Saccharomyces cerevisiae S288C: one gene and its partner. The gene in region 2 interacts genetically with the main gene of each other region. Each region holds a gene or a part of one and is shown on either strand. Other genes may lie near its edges.

Evidence for each region. A genetic interaction does not mean that the proteins touch.
Region 1: of ICL1 (region 2) and ACO1, changing one enhances a phenotype caused by changing the other (phenotypic enhancement), as found in Saccharomyces cerevisiae (one study listed by BioGRID).

Annotation. Positions count from the first base shown.
Region 1 is NC_001144.5:735,506-740,843, forward strand, and holds the start of ACO1 (aconitate hydratase ACO1), read right to left. Parts: upstream 2,044-5,338; coding exon 1-2,043. Other genes in the region: 1-phosphatidylinositol 4-kinase STT4, read right to left, coding at 2,656-5,338. UniProt on the Saccharomyces cerevisiae protein: Catalyzes the isomerization of citrate to isocitrate via cis-aconitate, a step in the citric acid cycle.
Region 2 is NC_001137.3:284,670-290,283, reverse strand, and holds ICL1 (isocitrate lyase 1), read left to right. Parts: upstream 1-3,369; coding exon 3,370-5,043; downstream 5,044-5,614. Other genes in the region: RRT13 (Rrt13p), read right to left, coding at 1-42. UniProt on the Saccharomyces cerevisiae protein: Catalyzes the formation of succinate and glyoxylate from isocitrate, a key step of the glyoxylate cycle, which operates as an anaplerotic route for replenishing the tricarboxylic acid cycle.

The DNA.
Region 1 (5,338 bases), on a different chromosome or scaffold from region 2:
GAAACCGCCCAAGAATCTTGGTTCCAAAGCAGCGTGTTCACGAGAGGAACCTTCACCAAAGTTTTCATCACCAATAACAACCCACTTGATACCTTGGTCTCTGTAATCTCTAGCAGTGTCTGGAACACCTTTGTATTCACCAGTATATACATTTTTAACACAGTTAGCCTTCTTGTTTTCAGCATTAATAGCACCAATCATATAGTTATTAGAAATGTTTTCTAAATGACCTCTGTATTTCAACCATGGACCAGCCATAGAAATATGATCAGTAGTTGTCTTACCGACGGCCTTAATCAAGATTGGCATGTCTTTAGCATCCTTACCATCCCAAGGTTTGAATGGTTTCAACAGTTGTAGACGGTCTGAAGTTGGAGAAACTTTAACTTCAACGGTGCTACGGTCTGCAGGTGGAGCTTGGTAAGTGTTCTCACCAGCATCATAACCTCTTTGAGGCAAACCATCACCATGTGGTGGTTTCAACATGAACTCATTACCATCCTTGTCCTTTAATTTGTCTGTTAGAGGGTTGAATCTCAAATCACCCGCAATGGCGAACGCAGTTACTAATTCTGGAGATGCAACAAAAGCATGAGTTTGTGGGTTACCATCATTTCTAGAAGTGAAATTTCTGTTGTAAGAGGAAACGATAGTATTCTTGTCACCTTTCTTGATATCTCTACGATCCCATTGACCAATACATGGGCCACAGGCGTTTGCCAAAACGATACCACCAAATTCTTTGAAGGTTTCTAATTGGCCATCACGTTCAATAGTGGCTCTGATTTGTTCAGAACCTGGAGTAACAGTGAAAATGGTCTTGGATTTCAAACCATGAGCAGCAGCATCCTTGACAATGGATGCTGAACGAGACATATCTTCATAAGAGGAATTGGTACAAGAACCGATCAAACCGACTCTGACATCCAATGGCCAGTTATTAGCAACAGCAACTTCCTTCATCTTAGAAACTGGAGTAGCCAAATCGGGGGTAAATGGCCCATTGATGTATGGTTCCAGAGTGTTCAAGTCAATTTCGACGACCTCATCGTATTCAGCATCCTTATCAGCAGATAATAGGTCCTTGTGGTATAATTTAGCAAAGTCAGCGATCTTACCACGACCAGTTGCTTCCAAATATTCAATCATAGATTTGTTGAATGGGAAAACAGATGTGGTAGCACCGATTTCAGCACCCATATTACAAATGGTACCCATACCAGTAGCGGAGAAGGTGTCAACACCATCACCGAAATATTCAACAATTTTACCAGTACCACCTTTGACAGTTGTGATACCAGCCAATTTCAAAATAATATCCTTTGGAGAAGTCCAACCGTTCATCTTACCAGTCAACTTAACACCTAAGATCTTTGGAGCCTTCAATTCCCATGGACGACCTGCCATAACATCAACGGCATCAGCACCACCAACACCAATAGCCAATTGACCTAAACCACCAGCATTTGGTGTATGGGAGTCAGTACCAATGATCAAAGCACCTGGGAAAGCGTAGTTTTCCAGAACAATTTGGTGAATGATACCGGAACCTGGCTTCCAGAAACCCATGTTATATTTCGCAGTGGCAGAGGCCAAGAAATCATAAACTTCCTTGTTTAGATCTATAGCTCTCTTCAAATCTTTTTCACCACCAACTTGTGCTTGAATCAAATGGTCACAGTGGACAGTGACTGGCTTAGCAACCTGTGGTAAACCAGCGGACATAAATTGTAAAATAGCCATTTGAGCAGTAGCATCTTGACAGGCAACACGATCTGGTCTTAATTTTAGGTATGAAACACCTCTCTGAATATCTTGACCATGAGGGTCATCCAAGTGACCGTACAAAATCTTTTCCGCGTAGGTAAATGGCCTGTTTAATCTTTTTCTTACGATATCCAGCGTTTCCACATTCTGCTTGTAGTTAATAAAAGAATGATCTTCTAATAAGTTTTGGTTGACTTTTGAATCTCTAGTCAAGTTGGAGACTGTCGCAAGACCACGAACAATGGGTCTCTTGATGGCAGAACGTGCAGACAGCATTGTATATCTATAGTAATAATGGTAGTATTTATTACCTTCGTTCTACTATGTAATAACTAAGAAAGAGTGAACAGAACAAGGGACAACGGAATTAAGCAACATACTCCTCCTAATTAACCTCTAAAACCGGAAGATTATATATATAACAAAAGATTTTCCTTGTCCTCCCTTTTTGTGCTTGCCTTTCCGAAAACCGGCAGCGATTGGAGGTTTGATGGTTAAAGTCGCCTGCGGAGAACAACTGAAGGGTTCAAATTTTTCTCGTATGCACTAATTTCTCTATTGATTGGTCAGGACCTTTGCCGATTTCGGCGCCGAAATGCTCGAAAAACAAAGGGTATTGCCCGGCCCCGCGGACCTCCCTTTTGCGGCTCTCGGCCATTTTTTAGGTAATTTGACACCGTGCCCAAATGGCTTGGCACAATCGAGAATCAGGCACCCGCGTGTGACCGGCGTCATTCATTAAAGCCAGATAAGACAAAGTAAAATACAATGGATTATGATTAATACAATGATATACAAAAAGAGAGAAAATAAACGAAGGCTACGTCTGCGTAATTGACGATGGGAAACTGGTATTTTTATATAAGCATATGTAAAGTGCGAAGTATATCAGTACGGAATGCCATTTGTGAGCCTTTGGAATTCATCATAACCTTTAGTGAATATACTTTCATAACTTTTACGGATTAGCGCCTTCATATATAGTGCAGCTTCGTGATCGGTTTTTTGAGGTTGAAATCTTGCTCTTAGATTCCTAATTGTCTTGTGACCCTTAAAGCAGGGGAGACCGCTTCCTAACATAGGATTTACACACTCAATTATGGCCTCCACGTGCGGACGGGCGGCTAGATATGCCTTGATACAAAGTTCTTCAAAGTCCAGATACGCTGGGGTCTGGGGCGAACCTCCCATCACTTTAACCATTTCTTTCGTCAGCTTGAATGGTACTGCTTCAAACTTGATACCACCTGGGACAATATCAAAAATAAACCCAAAATCGATATGTAGACAATGTCCTTGATCATCGTACATAATGTTACCATTATGTCTATCCTTGAATTGCAACAAATACGAAATTACGCTATATCCCGCTAAGGATTTAACAAAGTTGTTTCGTGCGTTTTGAAATTCGATAGTAGATTCATTACCAAATTTACTAGTGAAATATTCATATAATCCATTAACAGCTTCACGTCCTAACATATCACGGGATACCGAATTGGGTAGCACATCGATGACACCACAACCCGGTGCCGTCGCAGTAACTCTGTAGGGAAAAACGTAGACATCCAAGCCAATACTAGACCAAATGGTTCTAAATAGCGAGATCAATTGTAACGCTAGAACATCTTGCCTACAGTCATCACCGACTTTGAAGATAGCAGCTTGCCATTTTTCAACTTCCTTGTTTTTACCTGTCAAAGGATCTTTTACGTCTTTCTTTATTTTAAAGGTCGCCATAAAAGGCGCCTTTGCGTGAGATTGAAGTGGCTTACCACTCTTCCGATCAATATCAATAACTACACCGTCAGGATTAGAAGGTAAATAAACATCAGGTTTCACCTCAATTTTGCTCATTTCTTCATCGATCTTATGTTTCTTTTCAGCCTTACTTTTTTTTATGTATGGTTTCAACTTACCAGATATGCCAGTTACTTCGTCGAAGAATTCAAATTCACGTTCGTAAAAATCGCGATGAGATTGGCTGAAACTTGAAACCATACGCTCCCTAATACGATCTAGAGTTGGTTTGATTTCATCTTCTTGTATACCTTCATCATCCTTGTAGCAGTTTGCAAGCATATTCCAGATTATTTGATGAGAAAATAACACACTAATTTTCGCAGTATCCAAAATCAATCTTTCGACATATCCGGTTTTATCGTATCTCAAACATTGTACGATTTGAGGAACATAGAAGAATGCCAAGTTCACATCTTGTGATTCCAACGAATATATGCTGAATTGTAAGATAAAAGAATTACCTTGCCATTCGGGAAGGAAAAGGTTGATAGATTTTAACGGGCTCACTGGCGCCCAGTATAAGGTTGCGTGTAGGTCTTTCTTACTGCTCAGGTGGCTTCCTTTTATGAACAGGTCAAGAGCACTTGGGGACCCCACACACATTAAAGCATGTTTTGCAACTAAGCCCACTAAAACATCCTCAGCTTTCTTGCTATAACATCGTTGTAAGAGATTTATTGCTAATGTTGGATCTTTAGCAAAGGTAGCTTCAACGATATCGCTTGTAAGCTCGTTGCTGTCGGCTCCTTCAATCTTCTCAGTCGGAGTAAGCCAGGTTTGAATCTGCTGGATTTCGCTTGCCAAGAAATAGTTCAGGATCTTGTAATCTTTCCCGCAATGACGTGACATTAGCGAGCTTAATTTGTTGAGCTGAAGGAAAAGGTCCCTAGTAACAGATAAATCTGCTTTGATTTTCAGCTCATTTGAGCCGAATGGCCACGCTACTGGTCTTTTAAACCAACTTAGGGCACCGTTTGTGATTTCTTGCGACAAACGGCCCATATACTTGGATCCCTGCTTATAACTTGCGTTTAGTACGAGAGTCGCGAATAACAATAATTCGTGGCGAATCATTCTAGCGAACGGGTGTAGTGAAGCCTTATACAGATTCTTGATACCATAAAGCGCACATTTCGTGAAAATTTTCAATAAAAAGTCACTTTGAAATAGTGTGCCCTCGAAATGGGAAGCAAAAAATTTAATAACATGAAGATGTGGTTGCATAGCTTGGGATGCATTTTTTGCATCTCTGTTGATACCTGCTTTGTCGTAAGGGGAATATTCCATTTTTTGGTATTCTTCGCCCTTTAAGTCATGATCGCGAGAATAGAGACCAATATTGTCATCAATGGAGCGCATCCAGCAATAGCATACTTCAACTAAAAGCAAATGTGCAACTTCGGGCTTCTCAGTTATGATTGTTAACCATACGTTTGTAGCAATCTTTAAAGATGCAGAGGTGAAGACTTCGAACGGGATGTGCACAATATCATATATCAATGACGCTGGTGCACCATTGCCAAGAATTAACAACGCGGTAGCCATATCAAGAAAATCAGTTACGTCTTTAGTTATAATCTTATTTCCTAAGGTCAAATTTTTTCTTATGTTTTGAGTGGAAATACCTATTTGCCTTTTGATATCCTCTGGTGATGATGTAATAGCGGTATCGAAAAGATATTTTGACCTCCAAGAATGTAAAGATATAAATCCAGAAATCGTGTTAGGTTTCTCTGGACCATAATAAGTAAGCCTTGATAATTCCTTA
Region 2 (5,614 bases):
AATACGATCCGTATGTCCACTCAAGATATATAGACATTTCATTTGCGCAACATCCCACACAATCAATGTATTATCATAGGAGCCACTAATGGCAATATTACCGTGGCCTGAGACAGTTCTTACAGTCGCCGTATGTCCTCTTAAAACACCAACAAAATATGGGTTCTCCTCAGGGGTATGAAAGACTAATGGATAATCATGTTCTTCCCCATGATCAGGAACGGAGGACTCCTTGGGCAATTTCCAAACGTGCAAAGTGTTATCTCTCGAACCAGTAACAATGTACTTGATATTTTTATATTCTACTATATCTAGGCACCTCACCGTAGAGTTATGACCTTTAAACACATGGGTACAACAACCTTTCTTAATATCTCAAACTCGCACCGTTCTGCCTGTAGAACCGCTGACTAAAATACCGCCATGGGCATACTTCAATGCCCAAACCTCACCATCATGACCTGATAGTTGTAAAAGAAATCTTTTATTTACTAAGTTATAAACTCTGATCGTTTTATCACATCCTCCTGTAATGACATAATTATCTTCAACTTGCAAGCACGCAATAACACTCGTCATATGGCCACTTAACGTGGTCCTTTGAGGTGTATAATCAGGATCAAACAAATTTACCAAAACAGACATTTCAGACACAACTTCCAGTACTTTATTAAAGCTTCGCAGATAGACGTTCTGATATAATTCCAAGGTAATAGAAAGCGATTGCTGTTTAAGTTGAACATGGTTTGCATTGATTTATTTAAACTTCGGGTAAATTGCTGGCTGCAACTTTCATTTAGACGAAAATGCAAAATCAATTGCCCCTTGTTGATAGCTTTAAGTGGAAGCCGTTGACTAGGTTTTAACGGGAGTGTGACTCCAAATGAAAAAATTATTGAAAGCTAAGATTATTTTGCACTATGACATTCTCGATAATCCCTTGGAAAGATTTAAGTGATTAGTCCGAGTACCGATATGGTTGAGAATCAAAGGTTTCTTTTCACAACGGTGACCCCACCATTTGAAAAAAAAAAAAAAATGAAAACGATGGCAACGCCCTTATCTGGCGTGGTTATTACCATAGAAAAGTTTATTCAATGTTTTTGTTATTCTCACTGACACAGACAGCATTTTGGAATATTGCATTCCTAACATATTGCTACATTAGCAATTGAAAGGGCAGTCGGAACTATCACGTAGTTTGAAAATGTCTTCCCGCTTAGCTCATTATGCATAAGCTTGTGCACGGCGTCATGGTCCATTTACTGTACATGGTAAGAAAGTTTTATTCCACCTACACTGATGTTGGCTGGTATGTTGATGGTTTTTGATAATTCACGTGTAATTAAGAACATCGAAACACTATCTGATGTATTTTTTATTGTTGAAATTTCTGACTCGTTTACAACCTACAAGCCCATACTGAGCTAAGTTTGCCATGTGCCCATCTATCTGTATTCGTGTCGAATCGGAAAATTATTATGGTACTTTTGTGTTGGAGATGGACAATAGAACGGTATGATGAGGCTTTGGTATTTTCATTTTAACAAGTGAATTTGAGAATTGGGTGATTTGTGATTATATTTGGGTGCACTGTTGGAAAAGGCTATAATATTACGCATACAGGATATACTGGTAGCATGAATACTACCCCAAATGGATGATATTTTAGGGTTTCATTGTAACAGATATCGGTGGATGTGTTCTTATTTTTATATGTCTCTGATAGTGGTTCTTTTTTGGGAAATTCATAATGATAGGCACTATGGCCGAGTGGTTAAGGCGACAGACTTGAAATCTGTTGGGCTCTGCCCGCGCTGGTTCAAATCCTGCTGGTGTCGTTTTTTTTATTGTTAGAGGTGCCTTGAAAATGCTACATTCATGAAAAGTAGTTGAACTGCTTGGAGACCATATTTACTGGAATATCTTCATATGGTCGAAGGCCGTTTGATGCTTCCAAACTGAATGTTGGGCTGGAATAAATTTTGTAATAGTAGTGCTTCAAATGAATTATTTTTTTTTCATTTTCAATACGCAAATGTAAATGACGCGTACGCTGGGACTGATAAGGTTTGTATTTAGATTCTTCCTGGCCTAAACATTATGTTAACTAGGTTTGTTTTTAGCGCAATTTCATTAGTTCTCAAGGAGCACTACAGATTCTTATTCACTATGGTTTAAGTTATTTCTAGAAAATATAGTGTGATCATCGTCATATATTTTTCGGAATAAAAATTCACACTCACTTATCGACTATTAATCATATTACTAGTATATTACCATATACTCTGTAAGAGGATGACATAAAGAAAGATAACAAAATTAAGAGACAGCCATCAAAATTTAATGGAAGCTGAAATGCATGATTTTGGAAATGTAAAGGATAATGAGTGAGCATATAAAATGGAAGAAAAAATAATAATAGGATTATGTATAAAATATCGATTCCCTTTTGTAGATTTCGAGATCTTCGAGGAGAACTTCTAGCACGTTGTTTACATATCTAATGTTGTAACACGGCCTTTGTTATCTTGTGAATATATCCATCACCTACGTCGCTTGAGGTTTCGTATCAAAGAAAGAGAGTTCAAACATAATCATACGTGTTTCACTCCAAATTTGATCACAAATGGCCACCCATTATAGCTTGTTATTATTTACTTCTTCTTGAGTTCATTTTATTGAAAGATGCCCGCTGGGAACAAAACATAAATAAAATTCAAGAGTACAATATAGCGTAGCATAGTTGCGAGCAAGGGAAGGCAACACAGTTAAAATGACAATGTTAGAAGGAAAAACTAAATCAAGCTCCCATAGGAAATTTCTTGTGTCAGTAATATGTCTCGAGAAAATAATAATAATTGAATCTATTTATTGAAAAGTAAATATCTCGTAACCCGGATGCTTTGGGCGGTCGGGTTTTGCTACTCGTCATCCGATGAGAAAAACTGTTCCCTTTTGCCCCAGGTTTCCATTCATCCGAGCGATCACTTATCTGACTTCGTCACTTTTTCATTTCATCCGAAACAATCAAAACTGAAGCCAATCACCACAAAATTAACACTCAACGTCATCTTTCACTACCCTTTACAGAAGAAAATATCCATAGTCCGGACTAGCATCCCAGTATGTGACTCAATATTGGTGCAAAAGAGAAAAGCATAAGTCAGTCCAAAGTCCGCCCTTAACCAGGCACATCGGAATTCACAAAACGTTTCTTTATTATATAAAGGAGCTGCTTCACTGGCAAAATTCTTATTATTTGTCTTGGCTTGCTAATTTCATCTTATCCTTTTTTTCTTTTCACACCCAAATACCTAACAATTGAGAGAAAACTCTTAGCATAACATAACAAAAAGTCAACGAAAAATGCCTATCCCCGTTGGAAATACGAAGAACGATTTTGCAGCTTTACAAGCAAAACTAGATGCAGATGCTGCCGAAATTGAGAAATGGTGGTCTGACTCACGTTGGAGTAAGACTAAGAGAAATTATTCAGCCAGAGATATTGCTGTTAGACGCGGGACATTCCCACCAATCGAATACCCATCTTCGGTCATGGCCAGAAAATTATTCAAGGTATTAGAGAAGCATCACAATGAGGGTACAGTCTCTAAAACTTTCGGTGCCCTAGATCCTGTCCAGATTTCTCAAATGGCAAAATACTTAGACACAATCTATATTTCTGGTTGGCAGTGTTCATCAACTGCTTCCACCTCAAATGAACCTGGTCCAGACTTAGCTGATTATCCAATGGACACCGTTCCAAACAAAGTGGAACATTTGTTCAAGGCCCAATTGTTTCACGACAGAAAACAACTAGAGGCACGGTCAAAGGCTAAATCTCAGGAAGAACTCGATGAGATGGGTGCCCCAATTGACTACCTAACACCAATTGTCGCTGATGCAGACGCAGGCCACGGCGGTTTAACCGCAGTCTTCAAATTGACCAAGATGTTCATTGAGCGTGGTGCTGCTGGGATCCACATGGAAGACCAGACATCTACAAATAAGAAATGTGGGCATATGGCAGGAAGATGTGTTATACCCGTTCAGGAACATGTTAACAGATTGGTGACTATTAGAATGTGTGCTGATATCATGCATTCTGACTTAATTGTCGTTGCTAGGACTGATTCAGAAGCAGCCACTTTGATTAGCTCAACCATCGATACCAGAGATCATTATTTCATTGTCGGTGCCACCAATCCAAATATCGAGCCATTTGCCGAAGTTTTAAATGATGCCATCATGAGTGGTGCATCAGGACAAGAACTAGCTGACATTGAACAAAAATGGTGTAGAGACGCTGGACTCAAGTTATTCCATGAAGCCGTCATTGATGAAATTGAAAGATCAGCCCTGTCAAATAAGCAAGAATTGATTAAGAAATTCACCTCTAAAGTGGGTCCATTGACTGAAACATCCCACAGAGAAGCCAAGAAGCTCGCTAAAGAAATTCTTGGCCACGAAATTTTCTTCGACTGGGAGCTACCACGCGTAAGGGAAGGGTTGTACCGTTACAGAGGTGGGACGCAATGTTCTATCATGAGGGCCCGTGCATTTGCTCCATATGCTGATTTGGTATGGATGGAATCTAACTACCCAGACTTCCAACAGGCCAAGGAGTTTGCAGAAGGTGTTAAAGAGAAATTCCCTGACCAATGGCTAGCTTACAACTTGTCTCCATCCTTTAACTGGCCAAAAGCCATGTCCGTTGATGAACAACACACCTTCATCCAAAGGCTGGGTGATCTAGGTTACATCTGGCAATTTATCACATTGGCCGGTTTACACACTAACGCTTTAGCTGTCCATAACTTCTCTCGTGACTTTGCCAAGGATGGGATGAAAGCTTATGCCCAGAATGTTCAGCAGAGGGAAATGGACGATGGTGTTGATGTGTTGAAACATCAAAAATGGTCTGGTGCGGAGTACATCGATGGGTTATTGAAGTTAGCTCAAGGTGGTGTTAGCGCAACAGCTGCTATGGGAACCGGTGTCACAGAAGATCAATTCAAAGAAAATGGCGTAAAGAAATAGGACAAGGATTAACCATTAGAACTGCCGGCATTTCCTGACAAGTATATATATTCGTAATCTCAATGTATATTTTTTTCATATATAAACATGCGTACTTAAAAACTTAAACTCATCGTTACTGCAGTACAATGTTCTCTAATGGCATCTCTCTAATGGTACTCCAACTAAAGTCAACATTCTCTCCGTGCAAGAATGCCTTTCTCTAGTTGCAAAAACGAGTCAATAAACATCTTTGATCGAGTCGCCTCATTTTTGTTGACTCGGTGACTAAAATCAGTGCCATTTCTGTCCATGCCTCGTGCGCGAATGATTGAATCGAACTAATCCCGAACACAATCATAGTATCGTATCGCCCATTAGTGCCGTGAGTGTACGCGAGGCAAAAGGCACCATGGAAAATATTCCCTTAGTCATCTTGGAAATCATTGAGACTGTAAAGGAACTCGCAAACGGGTAACCGATATTTACCCCACCTTTGGTCGAGAAATTCCACCTGTTCGGCAATTTTTGCCGCTCTTCTCAAGAGCAAAAGGCGTTTTTTTTTCTGACACGCCTCTTCTCTCGCATGCCA